4 linked regions of the Arabidopsis thaliana genome follow. The protein of the gene in region 1 interacts with the protein of each later gene in a pairwise test. Each region holds a gene or a part of one and is shown in the gene's direction. Other genes may lie near its edges. The genes, in order: ABCI12, AT1G15610, DER1 and AT4G30660.

Evidence for each region.
Region 2: the proteins of ABCI12 (region 1) and AT1G15610 interact in a protein complementation assay, tested with the Arabidopsis thaliana proteins (one large-scale study listed by BioGRID).
Region 3: the proteins of ABCI12 (region 1) and DER1 interact in a protein complementation assay, tested with the Arabidopsis thaliana proteins (one large-scale study listed by BioGRID).
Region 4: the proteins of ABCI12 (region 1) and AT4G30660 interact in a protein complementation assay, tested with the Arabidopsis thaliana proteins (one large-scale study listed by BioGRID).

The regions. Positions count from the first base shown.
Region 1 is NC_003074.8:7,600,476-7,606,013, reverse strand, and holds ABCI12 (cobalt ion transmembrane transporter), read left to right. Parts: upstream 1-2,114; 5' UTR 2,115-2,293; coding exon 2,294-2,656; intron 2,657-2,766; coding exon 2,767-2,883; intron 2,884-2,965; coding exon 2,966-3,202; intron 3,203-3,287; coding exon 3,288-3,452; intron 3,453-3,552; coding exon 3,553-3,628; intron 3,629-3,696; coding exon 3,697-3,761; intron 3,762-3,852; coding exon 3,853-4,005; 3' UTR 4,006-4,192; downstream 4,193-5,538. Other genes in the region: AT3G21590 (Senescence/dehydration-associated protein-like protein), read left to right, coding at 225-429, 499-572, 843-964, 1,092-1,258, 1,375-1,463; AT3G21570 (proline-rich nuclear receptor coactivator), read left to right, coding at 5,307-5,538.
Region 2 is NC_003070.9:5,368,144-5,372,857, forward strand, and holds AT1G15610 (uncharacterized protein), read left to right. Parts: upstream 1-2,613; 5' UTR 2,614-2,649; coding exon 2,650-3,041; intron 3,042-3,117; coding exon 3,118-3,243; intron 3,244-3,322; coding exon 3,323-3,536; downstream 3,537-4,714. Other genes in the region: AT1G15590 (E3 ubiquitin-protein ligase), read left to right, coding at 62-89; AT1G15600 (uncharacterized protein), read left to right, coding at 780-1,135, 1,209-1,337, 1,441-1,618.
Region 3 is NC_003075.7:14,442,109-14,448,591, forward strand, and holds DER1 (DERLIN-1), read left to right. Parts: upstream 1-2,444; 5' UTR 2,445-2,828; coding exon 2,829-2,845; intron 2,846-3,442; coding exon 3,443-3,578; intron 3,579-3,684; coding exon 3,685-3,758; intron 3,759-3,845; coding exon 3,846-3,939; intron 3,940-4,188; coding exon 4,189-4,317; intron 4,318-4,399; coding exon 4,400-4,560; coding exon of another isoform or gene 4,561-4,597; exon of another isoform or gene 4,598-4,654; coding exon 4,655-4,844; 3' UTR 4,845-5,129; downstream 5,130-6,483. Other genes in the region: PRF4 (profilin 4), read left to right, coding at 5,610-5,741, 6,002-6,139, 6,225-6,359. UniProt on the Arabidopsis thaliana protein: May be involved in the degradation process of specific misfolded endoplasmic reticulum (ER) luminal proteins.
Region 4 is NC_003075.7:14,952,732-14,957,338, forward strand, and holds AT4G30660 (Low temperature and salt responsive protein family), read left to right. Parts: upstream 1-2,647; 5' UTR 2,648-2,738; coding exon 2,739-2,828; exon of another isoform or gene 2,829-3,078; coding exon 3,079-3,213; 3' UTR 3,214-3,269; exon of another isoform or gene 3,270-3,429; 3' UTR 3,430-3,440; downstream 3,441-4,607. Other genes in the region: AT4G30640 (RNI-like superfamily protein), read left to right, coding at 1-303, 411-951; AT4G30650 (Low temperature and salt responsive protein family), read left to right, coding at 1,672-1,761, 1,836-1,967; AT4G30662 (uncharacterized protein), read right to left, coding at 3,452-3,799.

The DNA.
Region 1 (5,538 bases):
CTTCTGTTGAAACAACTTGCTAGTTATACAACTAGAAAATTTTACTTATTCTTCACTACCAAGCTATATGATCATATTTTATGGTCTTACATTTTTGTTGGTTATTAATATGATCAAATGGTAAGTGTTTACGTCATTACCTTCGATCATCCAACATTATATAGGAACGAGCCTCACATATAAACCAAACTTAAAAGTACTACTGTACTAAGAAAGAAGACACAATGTCCACATCAACCCAAGAAAACCAATCTGCCCAAGCGGTGAACGAAGAAGTTTTGTTGGAGAATCCCGATTACGGAGTCCAAATCGTCGATAAATCCGAACTGTTGGAGCTAGCCTTGAGTTTCTTAGGGGAAGACGGAGAAATCATGGAAAACCCTGAGTTTCTTGGAGATATCATGGGGGAGAAATCTTCAAGTACTTCAGGTAAGAACAACAATGAAATTGATTGGAAAAAGTTTGCACCGAAGGCTGAAGACTACAAAAATGGTGTAGCCAAGGCCATCGCGGTAGGAACAGGGCATATCATCAAGGGAATCTTCACTTGTAGCAATTCTTACTCTAAGAAGGTCTCATACATATAAGTCCCTCTCATGATGCTTATGAGTGTTAATAGATGATTGTGATTTGAATCGAAATATTTGTTGTAGTAAAGAATCATGAACTTCCAATTCAAACCCAACTTGTGGAACGACTTATGTGTTTTATTTACTAGTATAGATCATCTTATTTTTGTGTTGGATTTTTAAAAACTTTTATATGAACATGGAGATGTAAGACGCACATATTGTAGTATTTTTTATTATTAATATCGTTTTATTTTCTTACAACAAAAACAGATTCACGAGGAAGGAACGATTGCTGAAGAGGATGAGGAAAGAAGTGGTGACATATCACAAATTGATGGAGGTGGCAACAATGAAACTAATAAGAAGAATAAACTCAACAAAAATCTTCAAAGGTATTCATATTTTAATCTCTATCCCACAAAATAGTATATATTATACCAAACAATAAAATCTTGGTTCTTGTTCCTTCTTATAATGAACCAAATCTTGGTTATTTTGTTGGATGTAACATATACATAGAGCGGAGAAGCTGTGGAAGGTGAGCGAGGCTATAGGAATGGCGGCCTTAGAAGGTGGAGATTTGGTGAGCAGTTCGATGATAGCTCCGGTGGTTAAGTCGAAGTTAGGGAAGGCATTGTTATCCACTGCTCCAGGAGAGGTTATCTTGGCATCACTTGATTCTTTTCGTAAGTTACATAGAATAGCTCCATTAATTGTCAATCTATACTCATATTCATTTATTTTGAAGTTTTTGAGATCAAAATTTAAATAAAACAGATAAACACTTTGATGTGGTCAATAGATAATATAATTGGTGCTGCTGAAGCGGCAGAAATACAAACTCATTATGCCACATCCATGGCTGCTACTAGACTTGTGAGTAAGAGGTAAAAAGCTCACTTTGTGATCCTCAATTTTGAGAATGAATTATGTTTCTATAGTAACACACCGGTATTTGAATCAAAAGAATGATTATATCGGTAGAAAATAAAATCGAAGTTGGTAGAATTATTGTATAGCGTGCATACAATCTAATAATTAATTACCAAATAGTTTTGAGGGGTAGCTAATGATTTTTAGAGATAGGTTATCATTTTTATTTGTTAGGATTGTTTAGATGAGTTATATAACATGTTTACATGACCATCGAATTTTACAATTTTATACATTTATTGAGTTGAGTGTAACACATATTCACATTTTTGTGATGACCGCACCAAAGTTTTGGAGAGAAAGCCGGAAAAACCACCGGAATAATACTGGAAACAACGGGCAGCTTAGGCCGAACCGCCTGGAATATTCAAAAAGCTCTCGAGCCAACTTTTTCCATCACCTCAAAAATTGTCAAAAATGCTCCTAGGCAGTAATATGTTATCTATCTTAAAAGCTAAGTTACATTTTCATATGCTGTATTGTATCAAATTACTTAATCTTGGTTTTGGTGTGGCTATGACTCTACGAGAAAAGATTTATACAAAAAGAGTGTGAGAAAATCCAAAACGAGTCTATATATACATCAAATTCGAACAAGAACCGAAATCCAAATTTTGGTATACTTTGACTTTTGTTATTATGAGAAGTTGAGAACCACAGTCAACGTCCGACAAAACCAACAAGTACAACAGTTTAACACTTGACAGTTTACAGTATCTCTCTCTCTACCAAGTACAGAATTTCCCGCTCTAGGGCATATGTCTGATCCAATCCGAAATTGAAAACTCATGAATCACTCCAATCTTGCCAATCCAACAGTCTCCCTCACCGTAACCCTAATCCCCAAACACCCAATTCGTCATCTCACATCTCCAATTCCTAACCGGAACTTTACAAACCCTAAGCTTCTCTTCCCGCTCCGGCTTAATGAGACTCCTTCCTCCTCTCTCGCCGCGAAAAGGGTTTTCATTGTCAGAGCCACCGTCGACGGAGACGGTAAAACCGGTAATTGGGTGAACCGGTTACCAATTCCAGGACTTGGAGCCGAAAACGTCTTCAGATTGATTTCAAGCGCCACCGGAAGTCCCATCGGACAATTCATATCGTCTCCTGTGACATTTCTCCACTCGGTGGATCCCAGAATCAAATTGGTATATTGAATTCTTGATTCTTATCAAATTTCTAATCCAATTTTGTTAAAAAGTTTGAGTCTTTTTTTTTTTGTTAAAGCTTGAATTTTGGTATTTGTATATATGTGTAGGTATGGCTATTAACTCTAGTAGTTCTTCCAGCAAGAGCAAATCTAGTTGTGCGTTTAGGACTTGTTCTATGCACAGCTCTTTTGTCAATCCTTGTTCTCCCAAGACAAGTTTGGATAGTGAGTTCTGTTTCTCTGTCACAACTCTGTTTCTATATGTGATCTATCTGCTCTGCTGAGTTTCCTAACTTTTTCTGTAAAGGATCAATTGGCGAGAGTGTCGCTTCTTTCGGGTATTCTCTTCATAACATTGGGGCTAGGTTCAGATGGTGCACCTCCAATGCTTCAATCAAGAACACCACCATCTTCAATCACAAGCTTGCCTAATCTTCCCATGTCTTTAAGCGGTTATTCGTACATGTTACTGAAGCTTGGTCCTTTGCAATTCACAAGGAAAGGTTTGTCTGTTGGAAGCACAGCCGCATGCTTAACCTTTATTGTAAGTCGGTTTTTCGACTTCCGCGGTTTACCTATTTCCTTTCTTGATTAGATCACTTAATGGAACATTTGGTTTTTGGTCACAGATCTTCCAAAGTGCTAGTATTTGCCTTGCAACAACAACACCAGAGCAACTTGCACTAGCTCTACGTTGGTTCTTGTTCCCATTGACATATATTGGTGTTCCAGTCAGTGAAATTATCCTCACGCTACTGCTTTCACTGAGATTCATTAATTTGGTTTTCGATGAGGTAACGACTGTTCACTTATTCGCTTTAATATTATCAATCAGCCTAGTTATTCCAAGTCCTAAACCACATAATGGTACGTTGTGCATATGTTACATTGTAGGTCCGAAGTGTTTCACTGGGAATTGTATCGCGAAGAGTAAACTGGCAGCAGCTTACTGTTCTGGAGACACTTGATAGTAAGAATCTAAAAGTTTCTTCTCTCTTTCTATATACATCTCATCTTACAAGTGATCGCTTTTTGTAGTTTTCGCGTCATTCATACGCCGCATCTTCAAGAATATATTTCGTCATGCCGAACAAATATCACAGGTCAAATAGATTTCACTTATTATCATCTCATTGATTTGAGAATCAAATAAGAATTCTCTGTTGAAGAAGTTTGTAATTTATGTGCATGCAGGCCATGATTGTTAGAGGCTTCAGAGGAGAGAGCAGTAGCCACAAGATCTACTTCTTCTCTGGCTCTTCGAATAAGTTTGCAGATTTTGCATCAGTTTTGTGTTTAATCGGTGTAATCTCAACCGCACTCTTGTCTGAATACTTTCTTGTCTAATATTGATTCATACTAATCTTTATTCGAGCTAAACTTGGAACATAATTCAGAAGAAAAGATGATCTTGAGGTAGAATCTCTATCATGATCATCCAAATGTTGTATGTGATAAATTTCTTCCCCAATGTGTAAGATTTCGTTGGGGGTCCGGTTAGGGTAACACAATACAACTTTGTTATGCTCGCCGACCAAGAAACTCATCCCATCAGCAAACATATTCCAACTCGGATTAATGGTTTGCACTGTTGAGAACTTGCTCCATGAGATGACTGAATCCATACTAGTTGTCACCCATACATTTAAGTCTTGTGAATGTGTTTCATCATTATAATAACCTAACACTAACAGACAAAGTTTTCTATTTTTGCACGAAGAAATTATACCTAATGAAACAAATACCCTTTAGAAAAAGTGTAAGAAATTGCCACATTTCTTCTTTCAAATTACGTCAAAAATACAATCTATACTTAAAGAGTTAAGAAAGATGATCCCAAGCCAACCAAGGGCGTGATCTCTTCAATCTCACTCGATAAAGTCTGGTACACCCTTGTGTGATTTGATATGGTTTTCGTGTCCAGAAGAGACAAAGGCAGACGAAAACAGTGTCTCACATCTTTTTCTAGAAAATAACGGGTCAATGTCTTCCCAAGCCACTCGTGCTTGCTTCTATAAACAACATCAATCTTGAATTCTACCAAAAACACTCAAACTATATTTCGGCAATATAGTTTCTTGCATTGGAAGCAATCACTTGTTTCCATCATCACAGCTTGAAAAAGATTTGTCATTGGAATTAGTTCATATTTACAGTTCTCATTTAAAACATGTCAATATATGTAGTCCAATGCTTGTTTGATTAATCCCATAGAGCAACATTACATTAATTCAGCAAAAATTAGATTTGTGGAAAATCAAATTTAAAAATGGAAAAACGGACAGGGAAACAAACTAAATTAAACAAAAAGAAAAATAGAATTATGTGTTTAGGTTACAGATGCATCGTTACGAGGAAACGAAGCTCTGACAGAGAAGCCATTTTCTCCATTTTTGTCATCTCTTCTAATTTCTTCTATTTATTCCAGTATTCCATTAACCAGCAAAAAAACTCATAAATTAGATTATTTGTAGATTTTAACCAATTTACAAAAATTTCGAGCAGGAATCGAAGAAAAGGACTATTTGACCCTTTTCTTCTTCCTCCTCCCTCATTTCTACCACCACGATTTCTTCTTTATTTATTAGCCGCCGAAGGGAATTCCTCCGGCGCCATTTTTTATAATTTTTTTGTTTTTATCTTTAGAGATGGGAACCGAAATTATCAGGCCTCAAAATTGTTTGGTTGACCGGATGAGAGATTCTCCGGCGACTTTTTTTAACTCCCGGAGGAATCATTTTCACCGGAAACCGCCTCTCAAACCTGATCAAAGGAGAAGATTCGGTTCCGATGAGTTCAGAACGACGACAAAGAACATTGTTAGGAGAAAAGGAGAGTCTTTTGACTCATTCTCAAACATCAAAGTTCGTAAATATTCAC
Region 2 (4,714 bases), on another chromosome or scaffold:
GAGTTTGGAACATTTTTTTCTCATATCTATGATGTGGATAAGTTGAAATCAAATGATGTAGATTCTGTAAGGGAAGGTATAGGAGGTAGATTTGTTTTCAAGAAACCGAGCCATGATGATGTGAGTAATAATTTCATATCACATTAATTACTCTGTTTTAAATAGCATTTTTTTGTTGTTGTTGTTGTTTAATTTTCATGGTTTGATGGTGTGTGCAGAGTTGTTGCATATGCTTGGGGAAATATGGAGAGGAAAAAGGAGTAGGACTAAGGAAACTTGAATGCTCACACGTATTTCATTCGCAATGTATAGACAAATGGCTGAAAATCAAATCCACATGCCCTCTCTGTCAATCACAAGTTAGGTGGTGATGAGATGAGGTTGATTTTTTTTTTATTTTTTTTTCGCTCAAGAGTAATTGTACACATTCAATAAACAAAAGTGGTGGGAAACTGAAAGATACGATCCTGTCTTCTTGTGTTGTCTGTCTTAAAACAGAAAATAAATATCATACAGATCATTTGACCTATTAACAATTTAACTTGTCCAAAACATCTGCAATATATATAAACATTGAAATCTCAGCTTTGATCTTCATTTTTCAAAATAATGTTTTATTTGTAACACGACTAATACGTACTTAGTATTGATCTGGTCTAAAAAAATACTAATAATTTTATCAACAAAGAAGGAAAGGTATATGCTTTGTGCTCGTCAACGCAAATTTGAATGAACTTTTCATTTGATCGGCAAGAAATAGGAAAAACCAAAAGTGATCAATGGAGGGCCCTTTGTTGAGCGAGTGTGAACACATCATTGACATTACAAGCGATGGTAGTTCTTCATCAATTGATGGTCAGCAACCACACGAGGGTGTTGAATTGGGTGATCCATACACAAATGAAAGCATTTGTAATTCAATCGAGTTTGTTGTGACTTTGGTCTTGATTGCTGCGGTCATAATCGTTCTGATTGAGCCAAGAGATGAAGAACATCCACAAACAATGTTGTCTATATGGATCATCGGTTATACATGTGGCTGTATTGCCACTCTCCCTATCCTATGTTGGCGTTTTTGGCTTTATAACCGAAGCGTTGGCTCCGAATCTACAGATGAATACTTAAGAGAGACAAGGTATATATAAATTGTGTTTTCTTTTATCTTTTTATGCATTAGATTGAGATATAATGGTTTTATTGGTTTGCAGAATCAACAAGGATATGGACTTTTTTATGACGGGTTTCTTCGTGGGTTGGTATGTGGTGTTTTTATGGATTCTTTCTTCCAAAGCATTCGACTCATCAGCTCTAGATGATACTACAACTCAATACTTCTGGTGCGTATCAAACGAAATTTCCAATCATATGTATACCTTAAAACGTATATATTGACCTTTCTTATACTCATGCCTTTGGCCTTCTTCATTGTCTCTTTTGCAGGTTATGTTTGGCTCTCCTTACTTTCAGTTGCATTAGATATGTTCTTTTTAATCTAACATTGGCAATGGTCTGTTATACTACTCCTTTGCTTTTACTTACGCCTGTGGTCATATGTGTTCTCCTTGCTGTGGAAGTCTTAAAAGGCATTGTAGCATGCATTGTATCATGCATCTGCTGAAATCGAACTAATAAAAATATTTTGTTTGTAAGCCTAGGAGAATGGGCGTTTAAAATCAAAGTAAAGCAGAGTACCAGAATAAAAATGTTTTGTGTTCATGTTGATGATTTTAATCTTATTAAGGTAGAGAAAAACAGTAGCTAAGGTTTTTTGAAATGATCAAATATGATCATCTCGTCTTATTTCCTCTTTTTATTTTATTTTTCTCCCTCGTTAATATTATTCTCCATTAAATGACAGTTTTGACTGACCATTCTTATTCGTGCGTTTTCGCTATTCAGATATGTATTTTAAGGGCCCGTACTTTAATGGGCTTTTTAAAATCTGACTTATTTCGAGTCGAGTCCTACCTCATTGTGACATTTACCCAAATAATCACGTGTTTCAGAATAACCTTTTATAGGCCTTATTATTTTGACAGATTTGGGTAAATCGAAATGGATATATAGATAACTTTAACACCAAAGATAAGATAACTAAGAAAAATAATAAAATATTATAGTTTCCCAAATAATAAAATTTAACACCAAAGATTTCTCCTTTTACAAAAAAGACATATTACTTCTTCTAGCTTCCCAAATAATACATCAAGCACCAAAGAATTAGGAAGACTATAATTTAGAACCAAATATTTTGAAATTTTACTCTAACGGGCTACAATTGACTAATAATTGGTCTTGGTGTAGGTAAAACAAAAACACACAAAACAAATGTAGCTCCGAAAGTCTACTCATTGTAAAGGACTTTATGTGATTGACTTAGAATTGGTATTGGTGTCGATTAGGTCTTAAGATAATAATATAGCTGGAAATGTCTATTATTCGTATTTAGAGAAGAATGACTAACTTTTTTTTTGTTCGTTAGAAGTTTACAATTGACTTATAGAATAGATCTTGACGTAGATTGGGTCTTAGAATAATAATTTAGCACCAAAGAATCGGAGAGGGCTTTATGTAATTTGTATTTCAACGCTTGTTTAGATGAACTATTAATTCGATTGGACAAAATAGAAGAAAGCAAAAAAGTGATCAATGGAGGGCCCTTTGTTAACCAAGAGTGAGCACAACGTCGAAGACGTTACAATCCATGGCGATTCTTCCTCAAATGATGAGCACATCATCGACATTACAATCAATGGCGGTTCGTCATCAGCTGATCATGAGCAAACTCCACATGAGGCATTTCAATGGAGTTGTCCATTTACAAGTGGAAGTTTCTGGATTTTGGTCGAGTTAGCTGTGACTTTGGTCCAGATTGTTGCAGCCATATTTTTTCTGATTCTAACAAAAGATGAACGAGATCCAGAACTAGATGTAGCTTTGTTTACATGGATCATCTTTTATACTTGTGCCTCTATTGCCACTTTGCCTTTTGTATGTTGCCGTTTATGGCAGTATATCCAAAACGCTAGCTCAGAGACAAGGTATAAACTGTGTTTCTTTTTCTTTTTCAGGCATTAGAGACTGATATCCTCAACAATGGTTTTTATTGATTTGCAGCAACGAGGTGATGGAGTACCGTTTGGAAAATTTTCTTGAATCTTTCTTCGTGTCCTTGATTGTGGTGTCTTTATGGCATATTCTAACCGAGTCATCATCACGTCAAGATACTAGTCGACACTTCTGGTGCGCATCTAACTAAATTTACAATTATGGCTAAACAACATAATTTACCTCTCTAGAACTAACAAATGTCCTTTTCCAGGTTATGGCTGGGTCTACTTGCTTTCAGTTGCATTCGATATGTGCTTCCTAATTTCCAATTTACCGTACAGTTATTCATGTTGCCTGGGGTGTCCCTTGTTACTGCACTTGTGGCCGCCATAGTAACGATGATTAATTCGTTACTCTCACTCTTTTTGGTCATCATTGGACTCTTTGCGTTAACCTTTTCGTGGATCATTGGAATGTGCGGATAAAAATGATGGATCATGTTGTTTTCTTCAACAATTGTTGTAATACTCTCTTTCTATTTATTAAATAAAGCCAAGTGTCATTAGCATTACCGAATCCTCTATTCCTGAAATGGCCGGCAAAACTGAAACTAAAGGCTTCTCTGTACCAATATCTCTGCAGCAAGATAAACATTTCAGTATCTGCATTTCAACATGTACAACTGGTTTGTCTATTGTAAAAGGCCTCTTTGGCCATCTTGATGAAGCGCTTCATGTTGAGACAGCATGTGGCACGCCCGACAATTCTTTTTAAGAGTGCACCCATAACATATATGTTCTTATGCTATCAAACAACCCACAAGGAACCTGAAGATGATAACTACTTGATAGAGATGATATGACTTCAATCAATCTCGATCGGGTTCGGTTAAGGGCACTAATAGATAACCTGCTATATGGGAGTGTGAAGACCATTAATTGGTTTTTCACATATATATGACTGAAGAAATCAGCCGTAACCAAATATTAGTGTTTTTGCATCAGTTGGGGCCTTGGGGGTCAATTATGGAGTGGAATAATACATGAAAACTTGAATGGTCGCATGCAGAGCAGAGGTAGCCTTTAAATTAAAGCACACATCAAAATGTAGTGCAATGTTGCGAACTTTTATTCAACTAAACAATTTAACACTCGATCTTTGTGCGCCAATACCTCTGCACAACAAACAATTTAATCTCATCAATATGATCCGATTTTGAAGAACCACCTTCTTCTTCAGTGACTTCTCTGGCTACCTTCCATTAACTGTCGCTGTCATAACGACGTGGAAGTTAACTTAATTGACTTTTAAAAGATTAATGATGCTGTATATTGGTCTTAAAATGGCACAAAAGGTTCCGTCTAGGCTTTGTGTTTCACTTTAAGTCTATAACTTAAAAAAAAAAAACTACTAATTTAGCACCAAATAATATCATAACCATTTTATTATAAATGACTATAATTAACGTAGAATTGGAATTGGTCAGTTGGTCTCGAGATAATAATTTAGCTCCAACGAATCGGACATATCTATGCTTTTATGTTTTTTTTTGGGTATAAGAATTTGTTATTAATTCTTATACCAAAATTATAGATATGATATTGTTTTATTTTAAAACAAAATAAATAATATATATATGAATGGTTTGATCTGATATTGGTTA
Region 3 (6,483 bases), on another chromosome or scaffold:
TCTTTTGATATCTTCTGCTCTAACTTGGATATATGTTAGCCAAAAACAATAAAAACATCTCGATCACGTGCAAAGATCTTGAAATAGATATGTCTCTCTATTTTTTAATGTCTATGAAAGGACGTAACAAGTTTCTCTTCTATTTCGCATTTGGTAATACATTAATGTTTTAAGAAGACATTTGCCCAAGTTGCTAATTTTTTCTTTTTTTCCTGATGAATATTCAATGCATCTATGGCTTTGACAAAAAAAGAGATAAAAAATGAAGGAAACAAAATAACCAATGCATGTAAGTAATAATACTCTTCTCGCAAATGAAAACAAAACCTCGAACAATCAATTTACTAGCTATGCGCTAGGGCCAAGCTACTATACTAGGCACTAGGTCCGATTTATTCAGAATCAGTTTTGATATGGATATTGGTCGGATTCGTTCAACCCACTGATTCCAATTTGGTTTTGAAAAACAATGTTCGGCCATTTGCATCCAGAGTTATTTAAATCACGAAAAATATAGTTTGCTATTTATCATATACATACGGAATTTGCATGTTAACACTATTGATCAACTAGATTTTTCTAATGTTATATTTTTTTTGGTGGGGAAGTATTGAACTTACCTTACCACTCTTTTTCGATTCAAATACTAAGAATCACATTTATCAGTTGTGAGTTTAGCTAAATATGTGGGTGGTTTTAAATTTGTGAGTATTAAATTTGTCATTTCTATCACAAAACAATGGGAGAAAAAAACGAAAAACTAGTTTCCCGACATTAAACATGCGAATTACTGAAACATGGATAGGTCCACCATTTTTGCCATTTGACAAGCTCGGTCTCTTGTTTTCCTTGTTCATAAATGATTTTAGTTTGTTTGCTTTTTTAAACGCATCTTTCTATCACTTTTTTCTTTTGGTTGCAAATATGTCGTTTTCTCTCCTCCCTCCTTTTCCGGGATTTAACTTATCACAATGTAATGAAATTTGCATGTTCCTCTCTCGCCATTGGCAAGTTCCATTGCGATGTCTCTATCGATAGGTCAAACAATCCAAAAGAACCAAAACCTTTTTTCTTTTCTTTTCCACTCACATTTAATCTAGGGACCCTTTAATCTTATTCATTTTCTCAACGATAATGTAAAAAAGTATAGTTAGTAAACTGTTAACTGTGTAGATTATACATGTTTTTTAATCAATCATATAATTAGAAGGGGTATTTAGCCGTCCAAAAGCTGTTTTCGCGTGACTATGCATGAAACCCACTTACGTAGCCTCCAACGTAACGACCAATAAAAAGCTCTAACTTAGGAACATTACAACGAACTAATATTTAATAAGTTATATAAGGTCATGAAATGAAATCTTATAACGTATCTAACAACTCACATGATCTATACCATGTCACATTTTTTATCAAACATATGTTAACCACCTAAGCACTAACACTACTCTTTGATCAAACTTATATTTCGCATATACTCCAAAAGAAACCAAGTGGCATATTGGCATATCTCGTAATGTGGTGCCAAAAATGCTTATCAACTTAATTATAGTTCAGATATTGTCTCCGTATCGTATCTTAATATTTGTATTCAACAATAGGTATTATGTTGTATTAGCTAGGTGTGATTTGTAACGAGAAGAGATATCTCGTTCTATTGTGAGGTAAAAATAAAATAAAGCAGTACAAGAACATAACGGTATAAACGGTTTTTACTGTTAAAAAACTTGTAATTGTTTATGTACCAACCCTATTGATTGTGTTTAAGAAATTATTTTTAAATCTTGAGATTCTTATTCAAATATAAACATTGAAGATCGATATTGCTCAATATCACAATAATCTTTCTAAGTTATGAAAAGAACGTCTACTACTATTTGTTTAAAACTACATAGGACAACATCAAATCAGTTTTGAAATTCATTGTAAAATTCTTTTAATACTAAAATTGTTTACAGTTAATGAGAAATTACAATATTATTTTTAGCAGATTATAATTAGAAAATACATTATTATTATTGATCAATTTACCTTGCAGTTCCACGCAAAACCAACAAAATAACAAATAACAAAGCATTGTGTGGAATGACGTAAGGATGAGTCAGCAGACAAGGAGTGAGATCGAATCGGGTCAAGATTATCTGGTTGGGACCCGTCACATGCACATGGACCCTCTCCCGTACCTAATCCAGGTTAAATAATCTTGATTTTCTGTTTAATTACCTTAAAAACACATTATTATTGAAACTAATAATAAATCTCGGATCTTTGGTTCCGACCATACTTGCGAAAGATCATTGCTTTAATGCTAATGTTTCTCTAATTTTGATATTCCTTGAGATTAGATTCCCTTTGCATTGTCTTTTCTTGTTAATTTGTTAGGGTTCATATTCTTACATTATTTTTTTTGGCAAAGAAAAAAACATTTATAAACATATCTAATTCGAGCCTGATCTATTAATGGGTCAAATAAAAGCCTCTTTGGCCCAATTCAATAAACTGGCCAACTGGGGATCATCATAGAGACAGACTACTAGAGAGTAGAGACGCATCAGAAAGAAGAGAAATTGATCCCACAAGTTTAAACACGATTACAAATTAAAACGTGCCACGTATTCAAGACGGTGAATTAACACGACGTGGCAAGGTATGATTGGATAACTTACGCAGCTGCCTAACAAAAACAAGTGATTTGAGTTTTCAGATGATTAGAAGGAAAAAAAATTCTGGAACTTTCGAGCTTCTGTTTTGCGGTGCTCTCAAAGCTTATATCGGATCTCGAATCTTGAATCGGACTCAGAACCTCGGATCTTCGAAAATCGACGAACATGTCTTCTCCTGGCGAGTGAGTTCCGTTCCCCTCTATTGAAACTTTGCTTCGATTCGATTTTGATCGAGAGATTCTTAGCTTGGTCTTCGTACCCAGGATTTTGAGTCCTTAGGTTAATAATTTTCATGATTCGTTTAGCTTGTATAGGGGTTTTTGAAGCATTCAACTGTTGATTCTTCTCAATTCGAGCGTAATTTTGCAACACCAAGCGAGTTCTGTGAACTTGAGCTAACGCTATTTTTAGTATATAGTTATCAATTTGCATTGTCATCATTTGATATTTTGGTGATTTGAGATGTAAAGAAACATCTTTTATGCCATGGAAGTTAGTACAAGTCAACTGGTAGTTAGTTCTTGAAATATGGAATCTCATAGTGTCTTGAAGCAAAACTGTTCTCGTTTGCTGTATCATAGTTACAAGGCTACTTTGATTCTCCTAGCTACGATAGTCTAAAATATCTCTGCGTAGGCTTGTCTCTTGTGGTAAAGTTTTATGCTTTAGCTGATCTTGATGACATTTCCTGATTAGAAATTTATAGATGGATGGAATATGTATGATTTTGATTGTTTATCTGTCAAATTGTTTCTTAGATCGCTTGTTATTGATTGCAGATTCTATAACTCACTTCCACCTATAACCAAGGCTTATGGTACGTTGTGCTTTTTCACTACAGTAGCCACGCAGCTTGGCTTAGTTGCTCCCGTTCACATTGCTTTAATTCCTGAACTTGTACTTAAGCAGTTCCAGGTATATGATTTATTCTTTTTTATGATTTTCCTTTCTTTCTCACAAATCTCTGTCATCCTAAGTTCCTAATTCATTCTGCAATTTTTGATCTATTTGGTGTTTGTAGATCTGGAGGCTGATAACAAACTTGTTTTTCCTCGGTGGTTTCTCTATCAATTTTGGAATACGTCTTTTGATGATGTGAGCATACTATTTTCACATATATAGATGAACAAAGCTAATTTCGATTTTTATTATCTTAACATACTCTTTTAAATGATTGTGCAGAGCAAGATATGGAGTTCAACTCGAGAAAGGGCCATTTGAAAGGCGGACAGCAGACTTTTTGTGGATGATGATCTTTGGATCCTTCACTCTATTGGTATGTAAAGCCTCCCCTGTATTCTATTCTTACTGATCATTGTTATTGGTTCTTTGAGAACCCCAGTACTAGTATGTGGTATGCCACAAAGTAGATAATCGCTGGTACATAATATCCCAAAGCTGAGAAGATCAGAAGCTCTCAAAGAATTGAATCAGGGTTGCATTTTATTAAAGCGAGACAAAATTTTGGAAGGTATTCATACTAGTAAATCCGTGTGTTAAAACAGTTACCTTGTTCAAATTTCAGGTATTATCAGTCATACCATTTTTCTGGACACCGTTTCTTGGTGTTTCACTTGTGTTCATGCTTCTTTATCTCTGGAGCCGAGAATTTCCAAATGCCAACATCAGCCTATACGGTCTTGTCACTCTTAAGGTATTGAAAGTGTTTCTTTTGTAATCAAATCCACTCCTTGGTATATATAATGTTAATGGTGAAAGTTGGAATTACTCCACAGGCTTTCTACCTCCCATGGGCAATGCTAGCACTTGATGTTATCTTCGGTTCTCCGATCATGCCAGATCTTCTTGGCATCATAGCTGGACATCTATACTACTTCCTAACAGTCCTTCATCCTCTTGCTACCGGAAAAAACTACCTGAAAACCCCAAAATGGGTGTATCCTTTATTCAAATTCTCGATTATTTCCAGATGATTGTTTCTCTCGCTTCTCAGTTTTTGTTTTGCTGTTGTACCTTGACATTCTCAACAGTAATAAAATCGTAGCAAGATGGCGAATTGGAGCTCCAGTTGCAAGTGTTCGACAAGCAGGTGGTGTAGGAGCAGCAGGACCCGGAGCTGGAGGAGGAGTAGGAGGAGGAGGAGCTTATTCAAGCGCTCGTGCCCCACCCGAGAGTTCAAACACAGCATTCAGAGGTCGATCATATCGTCTCACCGACTGAAATAGAAATCTTCTCGAGTTTCTTTGTTTTCATCATATCAAATCTTTTTCAAACAATGCCACTAACTAATCCCAGGTAGCTTTGTGTTTTCGAACAGTACAGTTTTTGAATATATGACTCTGTAGGAAGAATCTTTGAGGTTTTAATACAATGTTCTTTTCAAAATGTGGTTCATGTTTCTATGTTTTTGTTTTTGTCTAGCAATCATCTCCTTACTAAATTGAATTCGATAAACTATAGCCACTATGAATATAATCAAATGAAATTTGTGACATAAGAATTTGGACGTAACGAGTTTGAATATCTATCTAGATAAGTTATTAAATTCGTGACCAAAGAGTTTGGTCGTAACAAGTTTGAATTTTTTAGGACATAATATTATTATTGGCTAACAAGATTACGACTAACGAGTAAATAATCATTCCTTCGGTCCTTCCTCTAAAATGCCGTTGGTGATCGTTTATAAATAGGGGAAATAGGAAAAGGGAAGAAAGTAGACGTGGCAAATAGCGAAACAATGATTGAGCTATAACAAAGGCGAAACTTGAGCGGCACTAATTGAAAATCACTCCTTGTTTTTTTGAAGAAAAAGTAAGATGTAGGGCTGAGAATTCGTCTATGTGATCCAACGGTTTTAAAATGATCCTTGTTCCTTCCTCTCCTATTTATCTGAAGGACGAAGTCCCCACGCTGCACATAACCGGGGCACTTAACGTATAGATCATAAACAAAGAAGAAGAAAAAAAATAAGAAAAGAAGAAGAAGATGTCGTGGCAAACTTACGTTGATGAGCATTTGATGTGTGATGTTGGCGATGGTCAAGGACACCACCTTACTGCTGCCGCTATCGTTGGTCATGACGGTAGCGTTTGGGCTCAGAGCGCCAACTTCCCTCAGGTATTTGATTTCATTGCGTCTGATCTCAATGTGATTTAGATCCTGATAGTGTTGCTATCCGATATGATATGTGTTTTTACAATGTGATTTAGATCATGCATCATGTTTTGATTAGATTCTATCAATGTTTGTCATGGGATATATATATAGTGTATTTTGTGTGTGTGTGTTTCTTTTTATATGTTTTGCATAGATTTGAAAACAAATGATGCATGTTGTCTCATGGTAATCGACTAATCGTGATTTGGTCTTTCATATAGTTCAAGGGACAGGAGTTCAGTGATATTATGAAAGATTTCGACGAACCGGGTCACTTGGCACCCACGGGATTATTCATGGCAGGAGCAAAGTACATGGTGATCCAAGGTGAGCCCGGGGCTGTAATCCGTGGCAAGAAGGTAACCTAATCAGTAGCTTCATGATCAGATATGCAAATACCATGTTGAAGAGGGTTCTAATTCAATATATGCTTCTTTCAATTAGGGAGCAGGAGGCATAACGATAAAGAAAACAGGACAGTCATGTGTGTTTGGGATCTATGAAGAGCCAGTGACACCAGGACAGTGCAACATGGTCGTCGAGAGGTTGGGTGATTACCTCCTCGAACAGGGTCTCTAGAATCTTCTTACAATGTTCCACCACCTACATTTTTTTATAAGGCCATTGTTTCTCCTATTTTTTTCCTTTGGGTGATTTGCATCTCTTTCTCTAATTGATATTATAAGTTTTGGGCTAATGGACC
Region 4 (4,607 bases), on another chromosome or scaffold:
TGAGTTGACTCGAGAATGTCTTCTTGACATCTTCTCACGGCTAAGCCAGGAACAAAGATGGATTGGACCGATGCTGGTCAGCAAGAACTGGATGAACGCATGCTATGACCCGACACTAAACACCATCTTCGACCTCGAAACTCGGTTTCTGTCGTTCCCTGAGTCGATCAACTGGTGGACTCCCGAGTTTGAGGATAAAGTCGATTCATTTCTCCGATCTGTTGTTGATCGGAGTGAAGGAGGTCTCACAGAGATTCGGATCAGGCATTGTACAGAACGCTCTCTATCTTACGCCGCCGAGAGGTACGTATCACTTTTCGTGATAATTCTCAGTTTTAGCTTGAGTCCATAGAGGTTAATCGCAGAGTTTTGATAGAATGAATAAAATGTCATGTGGTTTCCATTTGCAGGTGCCCTAATCTAGAGGTACTTTGGATAAAGAACTGCCCAAATGTTACAGATGCGTCAATGGAGAAGATAGCTATGAACTGTCCAAATCTTAGAGAACTTGATATAAGCTACTCTTATGGCATAACTCACGAGTCTCTGATAACATTGGGGAGGAGTTGCCAAAATTTAAAGATTCTGAAACGGAATTTGTTGCCCCGGCTAGGTCCTAGCCTGCCAACAATCGTCGCGCCACTAGACTATCTGGCTACATTTCCTAGATATGGGAATATAGAGGCTAGAATAATTGGGAAATACATGACACAGCTCAAGCATTTGGAGATTCGATACTCCACATTGACTGCTAGAGGACTTGACTCGGTTTGTAAGGGATGTTCGAATCTAGAGTACATGGACTTACGCGGATGTATATCATTGACCAGAAGTGATATAAACACTAATACGTCGGGCTTGAAGAATTTGACGGAGATCATTAAGCCGGATTTCAATCCTCCGATTGCTGTTTTACGCGTTCCAAGACCTGGTAATCCAAGAGAGGAATGATGGTGTTTGGTTTTTGTTGGACGCACGTTTTGATCAACTTGTTGACCGGTTTTTATGCTCAGAGCTTCCTCTATGGCATTTTTTACTCTGTTCTTATCTATGTTTGAATTCCTAAAACAATGTGAAACCCTTTTTCTTTGTGAGTTTGTCTTGTCACTAAATTCCCAACTTTTGGTGTGTTCTATTAATATTCTTCATTGCTTTAGGTCTGAATCATAGTGTTAAGTGAAATAAACATTGAGGGAAATGGGTTAAGTAAATGTACTGAGATAGCTTGCCATCTAAGCAAGCAACAGAAAAATTGGGCTAATCAAAGTCCGGTCCCGGAAACAATAGAAGACAGGCCTTCTAGGCCAACTTAGTCACGTGATCCATTAACCGTACGATAAGGGGGCGAGTCAGAGTAATAATATCCCACAATGATCAGGTGTGTTGTGTTGCACCATACCTTGCGTGTTCTTGAGATGAAAATATCTAAAGAGTGGGGGCAAGGTAAGGTAATTTTACGAGATGTCGGCATGTAAGCTGAAGCCGTACGATTTATATACCAAACAAATAAACGGTGCAGATCTCGTAGTTGACTTGGTAGCGCCAAAAATAAAAAGCCGTGGATTGCTCTTTTAATTGGATCTCTGTGCTACCGACTACTTTCAGTGTTCTCTTCTTCTCCACTAATTCAGATCACATTCAAGAATCTTCTTCACTCACATCTCTGAAAAAATGGCGAGCAACATGGAAGTTTTCTGCGAGATCTTAATCGCGATCCTTCTTCCACCTCTTGGAGTTTGTCTCAAACGTGGCTGTTGCACTGTAAGTTATTGGAATTTTGGAATCATGAATCTTGAGATTTAGTTTAGAAAATCTGACTCTTAGTTTTTTTGCAGGTAGAGTTCTTGATTTGCTTGGTGCTGACAATCTTAGGATACATCCCAGGGATAATTTATGCACTATACGTGATCGTGTTTCAAAACCGTGAAGGCTCTACCGAACTTGGAGCTCCACTTAACTCAGCTTGATCTGTTTTGGTCCATTACACGGATCAATATGTTGTTGAAACTGTTTTACTTATCATGTACCAAATAATAAGTTGCTTTGCAATTTTTATGTATTGAAGATTTGAGAACATTGTCGCGTTATTGATACATTGCTTATCTTTTTGATGTATAACTTGTTGGCTTTTGCAAAGTCAGGCTACGGACCTTCCTAAGAGTTAATGTATCAAATTCTTTGCCAAGATTGTATTTACCGGAGTTTAAACTTCGCAAAATGCGGAAGCATTTTTGAGTTTGAAAGGATTTTGTATGATGCCAACATATATTATGGTATAGATTATGCTAAAAAAGATAGATTTCTGTTACTTTGGCAAATAATGACAATGATTGTGAGTTGAGGAATCAAAGTCTCAGTAATACGACACCGTTTGAGTCAAAACGTTTCTGTCCAATTCCAGTCTGGTCCCGGGATTAATAAAATAGACAGGCCTTCCCAGGCCCATTTAGTCACATGGATGAGTCAGAGACTAAAATATCTAAAAGTGATCTGATGTGATAAGGGTGCACCATATCGTTCGTTGTGATTCACGAGATGTAATCTAAAGCCGTACGATTTAAATATCAATAAATGAACGGTGCAGATCTCGCACATTGACTTTGTAGTGGAAACAAAATAAAACGTGGACTGATCTCTCTTCATTGGTACTCTCAACTCTGTGACAGCAAGTTTCAGTGTTTTGTCTTTTAAAAAAACTCTTAAAGCTTCTTCTTCTCTCATCTCATCTCTCTGAAAAAATGCCGAGCAACTGTGAGATTCTGTGCGAGATCATTATCGCGATCCTTCTTCCTCCTCTCGGAGTTTGCTTCAGGAAAGGATGCTGCACTGTAAGTTCTCTCTCTCTCTCTTTCGAATTCCTCAATTTTGAAGAATCCTGGAACTTCTTATAGAGACTGTAATTTTGGATTGATTATAATGTAATTTGGTATGAGTAATGAAGGGAGTGCTTAATCTATGATATGAATCGCAGAAATTCTCTGGATTGGATCAATTTATGTTTGATTCATTGATTCCTGAAAGCTTGGATAATCATTTGAAGAAAGTTGAATTTTTTTTATGTGTGGTTTGTTTTGGCAGGTGGAGTTTTTGATATGCCTGGTGTTGACGATCTTAGGCTATGTCCCGGGGATAATATATGCGATTTACGTGATTGTGTTTCAGCACCGTGAAGAGTACTTTGATGAATACAGACGCCCCATCTACTCTGCTTGATTTCTGTTTCTTTGGAACTGTGTTGCTTTGACTTGTACCAATAAAGTTGCTTTGCAGTTGTTTTCAGAGATTTGAAAACGTTTGTGTGTCATTTATATGCAATATTGAAAGTTTCTTCTGTTATCAGCTTATGAACCCTCCTGCTATGTGTGCTTATGCATCAGGTTGTTGACATAGTGTTTTCGCAAGGCACAAATTAAATTATTAAATTGAAAGGTTAAAAAAAAAAAGAGTTTAATTAGAAGGCGAAGAACATCAACAGAATTGAGCTCGCGACCGTGGAACCGTAGCGCAATGCCATCGAGAGACAAGGTCGACTAGTAGCGGATGATCCACCCGCACCATGACCACTACTGGGGACACGACGGTGGCTACGACCACCACCACGACTACCACCACCAACACCACCAAAACGAGCTTTCCTCATGAAAACTCGAAGAGAGTCATGATGATCCAACGGATTGGAGTCACCGTGTTGTGCAAGTCTTCGTTCACTCTCCTTATTTTCAGATGAAATTGGCAAAGGCTGAGAGAGTAACAATAGGAGTACAATCAATGAACAAGAAAATGCCAGTGAAGTCCTCATTTCTGTTTTATCAAATAATATGTGTGTATATACATGTATCTGATCGAAAAAAATCAGAAATATGTGTTAATTTTACAATGATGGGACGCATTATGTGTGCAAAAGAATTAGTATTTATAATATCGCTAGGCTTAGGTAACGAAACGACCATGGCTTAAACATGGGCTACTTCTTCTTTGAAATGATGTTTAATACTATTATTGTATTTAACTATTGGGATACTTATTACTTATTAGCAAAGAAACTTTCCTTTTGCCAGCAACAAAGAAAGTTTCCGAGAGGCAAAATCTAATTACGTAAGGGAGGATCATGATTAATTAAGCCTAATGGGTAACAGACCCAAATGTTATTATTTATCGTTTTCTTATGTGAAATGGAATTTAGTGAATTTCCAACGTAAGGCAAATAGTGGTCGAAGGGAAATGGTGCCTAGTAGTTAGTTCTAATTGTAACTGAATTTGATTGAATTCATGTAGTAGATGTTTTAAAGAGGTTGTTGTTAATGGTAAGAATAAACAAAGGAACAATGTTCACTATACCTGCATTCTCTCTCCACTCAGTCTTCAAAATAATTGATCGTGAGATTAAGAACACTATCACCGCCAAAAAAATCAAAGGGGTCACTTCTGAAATCTTATGGCTGCGATAAACTGGCCCGAGATTTTCCCACATAAGTTTGTTTTCTTGTTTTTTACTCTTTTTTTTTTTTGGCCAAGTACACAATTGTATAGGTTTAACCAAAGTGTAAGTTCTGATTATTCATATTAATGATATTTACAATTTAGCAAACAAACAAAAAAATTCCAAA